2 linked regions of the Tamandua tetradactyla genome follow. The protein of the gene in region 1 interacts with the protein of each later gene in a biochemical or structural test. Links are inferred from orthologs where the notes say so. Each region holds a gene or a part of one and is shown on either strand. Other genes may lie near its edges.

What was found. The genes of interacting proteins can lie anywhere in the genome.
Region 2: of the proteins of UBA1 (region 1) and UBE2E2, one has a biochemical effect on the other in vitro, tested with the Homo sapiens proteins (4 studies listed by BioGRID, with this or other methods). The link is inferred for Tamandua tetradactyla from reciprocal best matches to the Homo sapiens genes UBA1 and UBE2E2.

Annotation. Positions count from the first base shown.
Region 1 is NC_135353.1:123,057,756-123,065,336, reverse strand, and holds the start of UBA1 (ubiquitin-like modifier-activating enzyme 1), read left to right. Parts: upstream 1-4,574; 5' UTR 4,575-4,721; intron 4,722-5,682; exon of another isoform or gene 5,683-5,769; intron 5,770-7,581. UniProt on the Homo sapiens protein: Catalyzes the first step in ubiquitin conjugation to mark cellular proteins for degradation through the ubiquitin-proteasome system.
Region 2 is NC_135341.1:65,248,753-65,256,760, reverse strand, and holds the start of UBE2E2 (ubiquitin-conjugating enzyme E2 E2), read left to right. Parts: upstream 1-5,004; 5' UTR 5,005-5,143; intron 5,144-8,008.

The DNA of each region.
Region 1 (7,581 bases):
CTCATTGGGAAGGTGGGGACAATGTGGGGTTCTGGCTGGTGCCCCCAAGACCCTGGTTACAGCCTCTCACCATTGTCAGGGTCCAGCAGGCCGTTCTGTACCAGGAAATCCAGCACCACCAGGGTACCATTGGGCTTGAAGTACCCCTAGATCTGCCTCTACAGAACCAGGAACTCAGAATACCCCCATCCCTGGCCTCATAGCCCCCCAGCTGCTCTTGATACACAATCTGGAGTCTACACTGTACGTTGCCATCCTTGGGCCTGGGTACAGTAAGTAACGTTGGGCATCTCCAAGTCAATACGGCAGGCACTGTCAAATCAGTTCCACTGCCCTAGACAGGCTAATGACCCCAGGGGGTTTGAGATAGAGAAGGCTGTCTTGACATGGAGGTGAGGTCACACCCATTCCTGGGCTTCCATCTCCATCCACAAAATCCCCATCCTCGAGCAGCTGGATTTTTCAAGTTCTTCCAAATCCTCCCACTCTGGTTGTTTGCTCCCACAATGTCTTATCCCTCAGGACCAGGGACACCTCATCCAATTGAGCTCCCCATGGCTTCCAAGTCTTGTTCCCCCTATCTCCAGGAACTCAGAATCCCCCCATCCCTGGCCTCATGGCTCCCCAGCTGCACTTGATCCACAATCTGGAGTCTAAAGTGTCTGCCAATCCCAGGTCCTAGGAATGCTCCCATGGGGCACTGGCATCTTCCCCAATCCCCTCCAGTCCAAATCTTGAGCGATTATTACCATGGTGTCCCCCTCCCCAGTCACTGCCAGCTAATCATCCACCTGCAGTTCCCAGTCATGTACGGTGGAATCTGAAGCTGGGCTTCCCCCTCTGGGCCAGGGAGGACTGCACTGTGAAATGGGACCAGGGACCCACCACCACGCACTTCCCCCCTCTCCCCACAGAAACACATGGTGGTGAGTTGAGAGGAGGGTGGAAGGAAAATGGTGTAGGAAGATCATTTGGCACTAAGCCTCTCCCCCCACTTAATATGCATTGTGCCACCATTCCCAACCATTTGTGTGCGATGAGTAGTGAGAAGAGGCCCCTAGAGGAGGCAATGGTGCTGGTTTGGGCAGAGGGGGTGGGTGTTGCTCAGTGAGAAATGGTGGGAGAAAGGAGAGGAAGGGGAAAGTAAGCAGAAAGGAGGAGGTGTGAATGAGGAGAGGAAATAGGACTAGAAAGAGGCCACCTCAGTCTCAGGATAGGTGTACCTTTTGGTGAAGATGCAGTATTCCCTCTTCCTACCCCCAGAGCACAGCACCTGCAATCCTACAGCAGAAAACCCTCATACATTGAACTATCATACATGTCTGGGGGTAGTGTAAAATGGTTCAGTCACTCTGGAAAACTGGCAATTTTGTATAAAATTAAACACACACTTGCCCTATGACCCAGCATTCCACTCTTATTTACCCAAAATAAATGAAAACGCATGCCTACAAAAAGACTTGTACCTTATGTTTATTGCAGCTATATTCATAATAGCCAAAAACTGGGAACAACTGAAACATCTAACAACAGGAGAATGAATAAATTACAGTATATTCATTCAATGGAATATAGTTCACCGATAAAAGGGAACAAAATACTGATACAAATATTAACATGGATGAATCTCACAGGCAACGTTGAGTGAAAGAGTGAAACACGAACAGTACATACCGTATGATTCCATTTATGTAAAGTTCTAAATTAGGCAGAACAAATTTATGGTGATAGAGCAGTGGCAGGGGTAGGGAGGATGTTATTCACTGGGTAAATGGTCATGGGTGGTCTCCGCAGCTTGTGCCTAGCAATAGGAATGTTTCAGGCTATGTGAAAGAGATCCTTCCTCATCTCTAACGCTCACTGCTGGCCAATCAGCCACCTGGAATTCCCAATCATGTGCAGTGGAAACTGAAGCTGGGCTGCCTGTCCTGGGCCAGGGACTGATTTGAAGAGAATAAATGGATTTTGCACCAAACCACAGGAAAGCCCAAAAACTCCATCCCACTCTTAAACCTACAGAGTGCCATTCCACAAATCTATAGATAGGGGGAGGAAGAGCCTGATAGGTTACTTTAAAAAAGAAAATGAAATCCCAGAAACTGTCTCCCTTGTGATACTCGATGCTGTAAAAAACAAGATCCAGGTGAAGATCAGCTATATAAATGATTGCCCTGACAGTGGCAGGATACATTTTGATAGTTATTGAGGAAAAGAAAACTGACAAAAGAAATGAGTCATTAACTAGCCTGAGCTCATTAAAACTGAGTAACAGAAGCATCTGTGATGACTGGATTTTGAAAATCAGAGAGGAATGTTACAGCAACTAGTCTGTATTGAAAAAGAGTGTGGCATGAGGATCCATTTCATAGAAGTATGGTTTGCACATACTTGCGCCATTACCTATTTCTGCTCTAGAGGTACAAATAGATTTTCTTTAAAAATTACATATTAGGAAAAGAACGAATGATGTCTTGTGTAATTTTATAAGGCTACTGTAATTTTGATCCCCCAAAGAGATGAGACTATACAAGAGAAAATTTCAAGCAAAAATTAAATATTAGCTAAATGGATCCAATAGTATATTTAGCAAATATATTTTGATCAGTTTTTCCCAGGAATGCAAAATTGGGTCAACATCAGAGAAGCTATGTAGGTAGTTCTGTACATTTACAGACTAAAAGTAAACAAACATAACCTCAACCACAGAAAAACAATTTGATAAAATTCAAGAATCCGTAAATCTGTACTCATAAGTAAATGGAGAAAGGAAAGCTCTTCCTTACAGTAGAATGCCAACTAATAATTCAGAACAAATGATGGAGTTCGAAAATCATTTATGAATGGTAAAACTTGTTAAACTTTACCGAGGAACAGGATATTAACATAATTTTATTAATATCAAGCATGTCTCAACTAACTTCGTATTTATTACAAAGGGAGAATTAGTAATTTTACAGTAGAGAAACCTGGCAAAAATGCTGTCTTAATCAAGGGATCAAAGTTAAAAGGGATCAATGTTAAAATCATGGAATAAGGATGGAATAAAAAGACAGCATCACTTCTGGGATATTTCCATGCAAGATATTAAACCTGAATCTAATCATGAGGAAACATCAGACAAATTCAAACCAAAGAACATTCTACAAAATAACTGACTTGTAATCTTCAAAGGTGTAAAGGTCATTAAGGTCAAGGAAAGACTGAAGAACTGTTCCAGACTAAAGGAAACTAAAGCAACATGACATTCGAATGTTCAAATCTCGCCTGCCAGGGCTACACCATTTAAAATTCCATTCCCTCCCCTATCACACTCCCTATGCCTCTTCCTTGGTTACTTTTCTCTCTACTACTTCTCCACTTGTAACATACTAGATACATTTTACTTGCTTTTCTGTATTATGTATCTCTTCCACTAGCAGGAAAGCTCCAAGAGGGAAGGAATATTTGTTTGCTTTATTCAAGGCCTAGAACATGGTTTGGCACATACCAGATCTTGGAAACACATACCACAACTGTTTGAATCACTCTCATCCTCAAAACTTCATTTTAAAAAGGCTAATATATAAAGAAGTTTTAAAGGAGAAAAAGCCATAGAAAGTACAACCAAATAGAAAATAAGCAAAGGACACGAATAGAAAGTTCCCAGAAAAAAACAAAAGCAAAAAATCCTTAAACCTATAAAAGATGTCCTAGCTTACTAATAATAAGAGAAATGCAAATAAAAATGAAACCGGATTGGCAAAAATCCAAAGGCTTGGCAATACACTGTGGGTGAGGCTGTGAACAAACAGGACTTCTCATTCATGCATTGCTGAAGCAATGCAAAATGGCACGGCCCCCCTCTCACCCTATGCCTCCTTCTCCTTTTCTTGCTTTTCTATCTCCATAGCATTTAGCAGTTAATGATACGTTTACTTATATAATATTTATTCATGTGAATACATAAAATACATAATATACTGTATTTACTATAAGACATTTATTATATGCAAAAAGATGTAAATCTTTTTCCTTATAGCTACTAGCTCTCATATAAAATATGTAGTATTTATATGTATGTCATATACAATGTATATCATATAATTACGTTTATTATGATACATATTTATATGTGAAACTAGAACTTTTACTTACTTATTAAGTTTATGATCTGTCTTTCTCCCTAGAGTATCAGCTCCATGAAGCCAAGGGAGACTCCCCAGCACCTGGACCACAATTTGAGCTTCATAAATGTCAAATGAATGAATCCTTTGGCTACCTGAGCCTTAGTCTTCCCATCTATAGGACAGGTGAGTCTATCGGTCTGGAGGCACCCCCATGTTCCGCTCCTTTCCCCCTTCTCCCCTAGCGCAGTGCCGGGAATCTCACCTCCCTAGCTTATATTTTCTCATAAACTGGGCGCTCTTGCCCACCACGTGCAACAGACACTGGCCAGATGGGACTACCACGTCCAGTGTGCCCCGCGCCGTCCGGGAAGGACCAAAATCTGTAGGGGTGTCTAGATCTGACAGGGGTGCCGATGGCGCGGGAGCACGGACGAACACCCCTCCTTCCAAGAGTCTGTGGTACGGCCCAGAGTGGGGGCCCTCCAAGGCCCCGCGCTTCCGAGCTCCGCGCAAACTCTCACTCCTATTGCGAGACGGAGGTGGTTTGCTCTTCCGTTGCCCCGTGGCTTCGGCTCATCTCCAGCAGGAAGGCGAGGCCTCCGCTCGGCGCAGGGGGTGAGCTGGAGCATGGTGACCCTAATCCCCTGGACAGCATTTGGGGGAGGGAGCTCAACTTCGGGGATACACTAGTGAGCACATTTGGAGGCTCCATACCCGGGGTGGGTGGCATTTAGCGGTGTCTGTTTTGGCAGGGACTCTTGGGAGGTGGTGTTTGGGGACTCCGGATGGGATTTGGGAATCTTTTTGGGAGCCCCCCTAGGAGGCAGGGTTTTGAGGGGTGTTTGGGAGAACTACGGGGCCCATGTTTGAGTACGCTGTCCATGGGGCAGGATTTGGGGTGTTTCCCAAGGGTGGGAGAGGAGGAGTTTAAGGTTCCTGAAGTCAAGGCGGGATTTTAGGAGGGTTGGTTTTAGGGTTCTCGTGACAGTGCTTGGGAACGTTCAGGACCGAGCTGGCATTAGGGAGGATCTGTGGCCTCTGTGATCCTGGTTTCATGATGGGGACCTCCCACACTTGGGGATCCAGGATAGCGAGACTGAACACGTCGGAGCCCACACGTTTTGGGGGAGAGGAGCCCCAGCCCAGGCTGGGGAAGAGCTGCAGGAGCCCAATCCACTAATCTCTTCCTGAGAGGACTTGGTGCCACCAGGCCTCCATTGGCCGCGGCTTTATTCATTATTCATGAGGAGGTGGGGCCGTGGGGAAAGCAGATTTTTGCCTCTTTCGCACCTGGTCTGGGAAAGCGTCGGGTTGTGAATTATTCATAAGGGGGCGGTTCAGCGTGCTGCAGGGGCGTTCTGAAATCAGCCACGCCAAACTAGAGCTCATTGATTATTCATGCAGGTGAGTAGAGCCCTGAGTCTTCTGTGACCTTTCTAGGGACGTTGGTCATAATTCGCGAGGGGCGTGGCCTTTGTGGCTTCATTTACGTGATCAGGGTTAGATTCTCGTATAGGTTCCAAAGGGGCGGGGTTTCGCGCATTGTTCGTAATACCTCACAGCCCAGTATTCCAGGTTATCAACAAAGGCTCTGCATTCCAATCCTATCGCTTTTGCCAGTTGTGTGGTCTTTGGCAAATCTTTCTGTGGGCCTGAAAAATAGGTATGAGGATAATGATAAGATCAACACCCACTCATTTATCACTTCGTTAGCCCATTTAATCTTCACAACAATTCTAGGAAGTAGGTTATTATTATCCCCTTTATAGACGAGGAAACTGGGACACAGCCATATAGCGAGGCTAAATAATTTGTGTAAGGTTACACAGCCAGTGAGTAACCAAGCCAGGATTCAAACCCACTCACTCTAGTTCCAGAGTCAGCATCTTAACCAAATTCCACTCACTCTAGTTCCAGAGTCAGCATCTTAACCAAATTCCATGATTTACACCTCCCCCAGTGTAATAGTGTTGCTACTAATGTTAGTCAAATCGCACTTACTATACTATGTGCCAGGCACTATTCTAAGTGCCTTATACATATTTATTCATTTAAACACCATCACAAGGTAGACTACTATTCCCATTTTACTGATAGGGAAATCAAGGCGGAGGGAGGTGCAGTGTCTGGCGCCAAGTCACACAGCTAGAGTAATCAGTAGACAGAAATGATTTTTGTGAGGATTTGAGACTTCTATAAGGAGATCACCTTTGAGCTGAGACCTGAAGGACAAGAAGGAACTTGTTTCCTCCTCTATATAACAGAGCTCATAAAAGCACCAACTTGCTAGGGTTTTCCTGAGGATATCGGTGTCATGGTGCATATATAAGGGTACACGACAGGAGTAATCAGTTAATGTGATTTATTATTGTTATTCAGCAGAAATGTATTGGGTGCTTATTATGTGCCTGGAGCTTTGGTATACAGTGTGTCTCTGGTGACCTAGTAGTCTGTCCTACCTAGTTCGTGGACTGTGGTGGCCATAGCATTCTGTTTTCCAGTGTTTTTCTGGGAGCGCACTTCAAAACAATATATAATATTTTAAACATTTAACATTTAGTGCGTTGTGCTGGCGCTGTTCTAAGCTCATTCTGATCTTCATAATAACTCATTTCACTCTTTTGAGATGGGTGGGTTCTATTACTATCCCCATTTCACAGTTGTGGAAACTGAGGCACTTGCCAAAGGCAAGTTTGGTTGAACCAAAACAGATCAGGTTGATGAGCAGTTTGTTGAGGGTGGGGAAGGGAGGCTTCACTCTCCCTTGGTTTTCTCTGTGGCTGGGCAGTATTATTCATGAACAGGGAGGCGTGGCCACGTTGCCTTGGCAACTAGGCTGCAAAACCATAATCCCTCCCTGCTGGGCGGGTCTGTTTTGAGTGTCTGTCCATCCAGCTTTATGCATAATTCATGATAGCTAGGTGGGACCTTTCTGATCTCTCTTGGTTTCCACGTTGAGCTGCAACAGCAGCGTCATTCATTATTCATGGCCTGAAGGAATGTGTTTTCCCTGCAGTAGCCCTATTTCCCTGCTTACAGGGTATTAGATGCAGCAGTAGGCGGGCCTGTCCCTTTTGTTCCAGCCCACCAGGCCTCATGGGTTATTCATGATAAGGATAAGAGAAGTGGTCTCGTTGGCTTCCCGGCCGCTGCAAAATCATTCATTATTCATCAACAGTAGGGTGTGGCTTCCATGTTCTAACATCTGCTTTCTGGTTGCAGAATGTTAGTCAATCAACCACCCGATCATGCATAATTCATGATCAGGAAGCATGGTCCTGATGTCCTTTCTTGGTTACTAAGGCAACCTGGCTGCAGCAACTAATTCATTATTCATGTAACCTGGGGCAAGGCCTCTTTGTAGCTTTACCTGTTTTCCCAGTTAGTGCCCTATCAACCACCAGGTGGAGCTATTTACCTCCCAACCGTACGAGTCATACAAGGGTTGAAGACCTCATTCATGATTCATAAGTGG
Region 2 (8,008 bases), on another chromosome or scaffold:
AATTGAAAAAGCAGTTATGTTTGTTCATTCATTCATTCATTTGACCACCCTTAATGGGTGATTAGTTTTTACATAAAGTGCAGATATGGAGATAAACAAAGCATAGTCTTTGCCCTTGAGGTCTTACAACAAAGTGGGGAAAATAGGCTTTTAAACAAAGGACAGGATGCAGGCGGATGCCTGCTGTGGCTGACCTGGGAGACTATTCGTGAGAGAAAGTGGCACACTCAAGTGAAATAATAATGCGTGGACTTGAGAGTGACATGACTTCCAACTTATTAAAGCATTAGGAAGGTTGGGAGCTCATACTTTGATGCAAGAGCTCTATTCAAATTTCAAATTGCTTACATACATTAACTTATTTAATCTTCCCCACTAACCCTACCGTAAGTATTAGCTCCTAAAATAAGATCCATTTAAAGAAGAGGACTCTGAGATTTGAGGGGTGAAGTAACTTGTCCATGATCACAGAGCAAGGAAGAGATAGAGCCACGATCATGAATCCAGAGAGTCCAGTTCAGCATCTCTCTAACTGCCCAAGAACAGCACAGATCAGGGTAAGGCTCTCCTACCTTCTGTCTTGGCTTCTTTCCTTCTGAGTTTTCCCTAAGTTAAAATTATTTTTATTTATTGTACTAATAATAGCATCATAACTATAACAAAGAAAACCTCATCTACAAGCTCATTGCTCTCCAAGTCTCTGGCTCTCCTGTGTCATTATTCTCCCCTTTCTGTTCTGACTGTCTCTTTCAGAGCAGATTCATCCTTTCTTACACCTCTGGTGTCTAAAGATGGCCCTCCTGAACCGATTTTATTTTTTTCCATCTCTGCTCTATCCTCTCTTAAGACTCCTTACCCATATCTCAGGACCTACTTAAACCCCTCCATTTGTGTTTCTGAGAAATTGGATGCAATAGCAAATTTCAGGAGGGACTGGCCATAACAATAGCATCCTTGATATGTAGGGGCCTGAGGAGGGAATTTCATCATTACAAAGCAGAAAGCACAGTGTATCAAAGATCTATTGCTGCATATCCAATTACCTTCAAAACTTCATGGCTGAAAATGATAAACATTTATTATCTCACAGTATATGCGGGTTGGGAATTTAAGAGTGGCTTAGCTGGGTGGTCTGATTCAGGATCTTTCTTGAAGTTTCAGTCAAGAAGTTGATCAGGGGGCGGTGTGACAGTGGCTCAGGAGGCAGAATTCTTGCTTGCCAAGCCGGAGACCCAGGTTTGATTCCTGGTGCCTGTCCATGCCAAAAAAAAAAAAAAAAAAAAATTGACCAGGGTTTCAGTAATCTGAAGTCTTGGCTGGGGCTGAAGGATCTGCTTGCACATGCACTCAGTTTCTAGCCATCTTGGATTCTTCATAGGGCTACTCACAGTATACCAGCTGGCATCCCTCTGAGTAAATGATCTGAGAGAGAGAGACAGGGAGAGAGAGAGAGAGGAAGGGGAAAAGAGAAAGGGAAGGAGGGAGGGAAGGGGAGGGAGGGAGGGAGGGGGAGAGGGTGGAGGATAGATGGGAGAGAATCCATATGGAAGCTATAATGTCTTTTATAAGGTAATCTCAGAGTGATACACCATCACTTCTCAGCATTATACTAACCCTGGTAAATGTGGGAGGGGACCACAAAAGAATGTGAACACAGGAGGCAGTGATGATCGGGAACCTCCTGGAGATTTATAACCACACATGGGCAGGGGCTACAATATGGAAGTAGCATCCAGATCCCTGTGTTTGCATCATAACTTATGTGAATGGTGCCCAGTGAAGTTTTGCAGTGTGCCATGTATACAGTCATATATAGGGGCCCAGGTGGTAGTCCCAAACCAGGTGTGACAGTCAGCACTGTTTCATTCTCTATTAGGAATTCATTCAGTCATTTATGCAACAAACATTTGTTGAACACTTGCTATGTGCCTCTATCTCAGTACTGAACTAAATAATGGGGTCCCTAGGGCCTCAGCCCTAAGGAGTTTCAATTTTCCCACATCAGTTCTGCTCTTCTTAAGTATCCATGGCATTCAGAGTGACTGCAGGTGCCTATAGCTCCCTTCAAGCCAGGATGAAGGAAAACATTGTCTTCCATCTCATTTTGTAAGGGTCCTAATTTTTGGTAAATCTGAACTAATATGATGTTCCCTCCCCAGGGGAAGCAAATATTTTATCAACCACTGATCACTGGATGCCTAAAAAGAATGGAAGTTGGTATTTTACCAATGTGGTGTGTTTTATGAAATCTAGCCTTTTCCCCCAGAGAGGTCTTTTCTATCTCCCTTCTAGTCAAACTGGAAAACTAATTGTGATTCTATCTACTCACAAAGTTGGCAGCAATAAAAGTTATAAGAAAGGCCCTTCAAAAAACTTTTCCACCTGCCAATTCTAGGGGGAAAATGTAGGCTCTATATTCAAGATTAGAAATAAGAAGTGTAGGAAAGTAGAGAGTGAGTTCATCATGATGGATTGATGAATCAGAGCAGGAAAGTGAGCTATTTGTCTAGGAGACCAAGTTTGAGTCTCAGGGGAGAGGAACAGGGAAAAATCAAGTAAAAATCTATGTTTGTAACACTGGACTCATGACAAAGTGTTGTGAACTTAGACTCCAGAGTCAAACTGCTGATTTCAAATCCCAGCTCTGCCTCCCACTAGCTGTGGACAACTGACTCAATCCCTCCAAACCTCAATGTTTTTATCTGTACAATGTTCTCATCTCAATGTTTCCATCTATATGATAGGGTAAGTCTCATGGGGTGGTTGTGAACTAGTATTATAAAGTGCCTAGAACTTTACCTGTCACAACATGAGAACACAATAAATGCTGATTATTATTACTGGAGAAATCAGAGCAACATCTATTATGTCATCAATTGGAAAAGTTCAGTGTCATTAACTCAAACAGTATTTATTGAATAAACTTAACAGTGAACTCCAACCAACAAAATCCGTGTCCAAAGGAGCTTATTTGTGGGCGAGGAGAAGAGGGAAGGCTAAAATAATTAAATTAAATATTTATTATGTCAGGTGATGATCATGGAGAAAAATAAAACGGGGAGGAGGATGGGAAGTGCTGGGGGTGGGGTGGGAGGGAATAATATGTAGAGATAGGGAATAGTAAATACAGAAATCTTGAGGCTGAGAAATGTTTGATGTGTTTCATAATAACAAGGAGGCTAGTGTGGCTGGAGGGAGATGAGGGTGAAGTAATGCTGTACTGTGTGAGATCAGAGGGGTTCTTGGTAGTGGCAGATAGATCATGCAGGGCTACGTCGCTATTGTAAGAACTTTGGCCTTTGTTCTAGGATGGGGAGACACTGGAAGTTCTGAGACAGGCGAGGCATGATCTAACCTATGCTTTAAATGATCACTCAGGCTGCTGTGTGTGTGTGGAGGGGTGGGCAGGGGAAAAAGCTCAGGTAGGAGGTTGTTATGAGTTGAATCATGTCCCCCCAATAGACATGTGGAAGTCCTAACCCCCTGTAGCTGCGCATGTGAACTTATTCGGAAATATGATCTTTGCAGATATAAGCAAATTAAGATGAAGTTGTAGTGAATCAAGGTGCCCTAATCCAATAAGACTGGTGTCTTTAGAATAGAGGAGGCACTGAGAGAGGCACAGAAAAGAGAATAGAGCCTTTTGATGTTCTTGAGTGATACATAGGGACACACCACTTTTTGCTCAGTGGTGTTTATCTGAGGCTACAGGTCAATATTTGCTTTTGGTAGTTGTCAGGGATGTTATAAAGTAACAGCCAATCCTTGAAGAAGGCATTGGATAAAAGGATTTTCAGTTCTAGACATGTATGTGGCTCTTGATTTGCTCCTGTTTTTTCTTTGGTTTTACCGAACTGAATTCTTTTGGTTGCCTGAGTCACTCTGGACTCTGCTCATTGCTCCATGGAGAGCTTAGGGCACCTGGTCTGCTGGTTTCCCTCATCTAATTCTGTGCCTAAGTGGGCAATAATGTTCAAGTCCAGTAGGTCTATTCCTACGCTTGGGAGGCTATCTTCAGTCCTGTCTGGATAGAGCACGCCATCCCATACAGCTCCAGAGACTGCATATAATGTTTAGGAGCAGCAGTCAGTTTGCAAGAGGGGCTGGGGTGGGAGAAATTCTCTGGAAGCTGAGTTTGCATAGCAGACACACTTTTATTTTTCAAATTGCTATTTGGGGTGAAGATTAAAAGGGAATCTAACGTTCCCTAAAGCCACTCAAACCATTCAAGTGTGCCTGAAGTAGGAAAAGTGCAGCACCCACCCATCCCCATCCCCACTCCCAATATTCCATGGCTAAAAGGCCTGGAATTTCTGGCTACTAACCGGTGTGCATTCTGGGTCACACAAAGTCAAAAGGCAGAAGGACCTCTGTGTTGCAGTGTCATGTGAAGAGTTTGCCTTTGCCTGGGAGAACTTTCCAGGCCAATACGGAGCTTTTGAGTACGGGTTAGTGTGTCAACGGGGTCAGTACCGAAGGCTATTTCGCATATGCACTGAGGAGGGGGTGAAGTCAAGGGCTACGGTGCGTGGGGGTGGGGCGAGAACGCCTCCCTGCTGCCAACATCCCCCTCAGTCGCAAGCTTTTAGGACGACCTTCACCCCTCAGCCAGCATATCCCTTTAATGCGCGTGCCCGTCAAGGTCTCCGCGCCCCCTCCCTCAAGACGCCCCGCGCCAGCCTCGGTTTCCCTACCTCTCCCGTCCCTGCCGTTCCTTTTCCACGGACTCCCCTCGCCCATCCCAGCCCACTGCCTGCACGCGGGACTCGGCCGTCACTTAACTTTTCCGCACGGCTTCCCCGCCCTCTCGCCCGACCCGCGGGACAGCCGGCCCGTGCGCGCGCGCCCCCTCCCCCCTCGCGGCCGCGCGCCGGGTGGAGGAGGGGCGGAGAGCGGGGCCGGTAGGGCTGGCGCGCGGCGCGGCACGGACGACGTGGGGTTCGCGCTCTCGCGGTCTCTCCCGGGCGGGCGCGCGAGCTCGCGCACTGGCGGGCGCGCGCGCGGACGGCCGGGCGGCGGCAGCGGCTCGCTGAGGTGGTGGCTTCACTTTCCAGGACTCAGGGGCGGCCACAGCGGCAGCCGCGGGCAGTAGCCTCGGAAGCCAGAGCTGGGGCGGCCGGGGGTGGCGGCCGCGGCACTGAGGGTGAGTCCAGGCGGGTGCGAGCGTCGCGGAGGCAGGCGTGGCCGGGCGTCGGGTGCCTGGGTCCAGGTTTCGGTGACTAGACGGCCCACAAGGGACAGCTGGTCCCTGGGGCCTCACCTCCCTCTGGCGCCGCCATCCCCTCGTGCATCCCGGCCTCCCTCTCTCCCCGAGCTTGGGTTTGAGCCCGCGACCTGAGCGGATGCCCCTCCCTGAGGTATCGGTCCGGGCTGGCGTCCCTTCCCCCATGCCCCCCACCCTCCCACTCCGGCCACCCTTCCACCTCGCAGGTCCCTGTGTACACCTCCCGCGCCCTGATTCCCCTCTCTCTGCTCTCTGGCGTGGCCCATTCCTTGTGTCCCCTCCCGCGAGCCTACTGCCCCCGTTTCTCGCCCTAGTCACCCCTCCCCCTCCTCCCCTTGCCCTCCTCCCTTTCTGCCCCTTCCCTTCCTTGCACTTCTTCCACCCACCTCGGTTCTCAGTTCCCCATCTTTCGACGCCCTCCCAGCCCCTGCCCTCTTCTAGCCGCATCCTGGAACTAAGTCTTTGCAAAAGTACGGGATAAATGTCACGGCGGAAAGTGCCAGGCTTGATCTTTTGCTATTTTCCCTAATTGCATAATTGCTGCACATGGTGTCTTTCCAGGCGAATGCCGGGTCTGGCTCTCGCGCCGCCGCCACCCCCGCCGCCCCCTATGGCCCACCGGGAGAAGACCTTGTGGGTTGTGTTTCTCTGTGCCCTGGTGTGGGGTGTGTGTTATATTGGTCTTTTGTGATGCCTCGATCTTGTCACAGTTTTGGAGCAGAAGCCCATTTTTCTCTGGTTTCTTCTCTGCAGCCCACACTGGCCTGGTTTGAAACTGGATTCCCTCTGTCCCCCTCCTCCCTCTTCCCTTGCTCCCACTCCTCTCCCTCTCTTTCTCTCATAATGTTTTGATCCTCTTGCCCTTTACCATTTCTAATGAAGATAAAGTGTAGCTTCTTGTGCCCCCCCCCCCCCCCCACTACCAACCAGATGTCCAATCCATCTTCCCTTAAGGAAATTAAGGTCGCTTTAGAAAGACATCATCCTAGGCTCGGTGGCTGCTAGACTAACTTGCATGTGTTCAAGATCCATCGTTATGTATTGTATATTCTGTAGAGTTCACTCATTTTTATTAAAAAGCGCTTCAGAGAAAAGATTTTAAGCTCTCTTAGTTTTTATCCTTGACTTTTTAAAAAGTGTGTTTCTGAATCTGATAATTCATTCCGGACCTTGGCAATCTAAATATTTGTTTTTGCTCCGATTGGATGCTCCTTGGCTCTTTGGAGTTTTATATGTGGATTGGTGCTAATGATGGAATATTTTCTTATGTCATACCCCATTTTCTCTCCCCTAGGACACAGCACCCCTTTTCTCCCATCTAATGATATCTTTTCTCATTTTTAAAAAATCGGTGATACCATTCTTTATTTCCTCCATAAATGTCTTTAGAGTTAAGTTAAATGCTGGGTATTGCTAGAAGATGTGTACGTAATATAAATTACTTTACATTTTAGGAAAATTTAGAAACGTGAGTAGGAAGACAGCAAGATATCAAATGACAGAATTCAGTATTTTCCTGTTATAAAAACTGAAATAGGTAGTTGCTTTTTCAGTTTAATGCCTTGAGATAAGGTTTGTCTGGCAGTAATCAGGACTCATGGAGTGATTAGAATCCCTTTTATGTCATCAGTAATATTTATAGCCAAATCATTTCTTTTTTTTTATGGAACATGTGCGCTTCATTGGTTATTATATTGGTTATTTCCAGGACTGTAATTACAGCATAAAGTACATAGTTAGTACAAGCTTAGACAATTAGTATGCATGTGAAGGAATAACATGGAAACTCTTAATATAACACATTTTAGGAAAGTCTACCTTATTTTGTTTTTGTTTAGGAAAACCAAGTTTTTGTGGTCCAAAATAAAAGTATTAGTTTAAATAACTTAATATCTTTGAAAAGCAGCTCTGTGTTTATAACCCTGGGATTTAAGTTTATATTTTCCTTAGATTAGATAATTGGAATAGATTAGCGATTTAGGAATTAAATTTAGTAAAAGATAATTTAAAAATGTTAATTTAGCAATTAATGTTTAAAGAGTTTTAGTTTGGGATTTTTATTCATTTCTACTTTAGAGTGACAACACTGACCTTAACAACTCTTTAAAATCACTGCTTTTCTTCATAAAAATTAGTTGCACATGAGTGGTACTATAAATTTTTTTCCAAACTTTTTCTGTAATCAGGCATTCATAAACAAAGACGGCAGAAATTTCACTGATTCTTGTGAAATTCATTTGTAAACGTTTCTGTAGTGGTTATCTGTTTTGTCACATATTTGTGATTTGGTTGGTTAAGATTTGGATAAAATGAGTATGTTGGGTTAAAAGTAGAAATAAAATTTTCTTCTTTATTATGAAACTATAGAAATTATGCATCTCTTTGGGCATTTTTTTTCCCCTAAGCTTTTTATTTTGAAATAATTTCAGATTTAACAGGATAATTGCAAAAATAATACACCAAACAGGGAGAGAACTCCACATGCCCTCCCCTGCTCCATACCCGTATCCACCAATTTTAACATTTTGCTGTATTTGTTGTATCACTCTCTATATTTGTCCTTCTGTCTATCAGTCTTTCTACCAGTTATCTAAACATGTGAGAGTATCATGCTTCTTGAATCTGTAATGCTTCCATGTACATTTCCTAAGAACAAGGGTATTCATTGTGTAACCACCTAAAGTACAGTTACCAAGTTGAAGAACTTTAACATTGATATAAAGCTTTCAGTGTAAGTTCCAATTTTTTCATATGTCCTAATATCATTTTCTTCTCCATTATTAG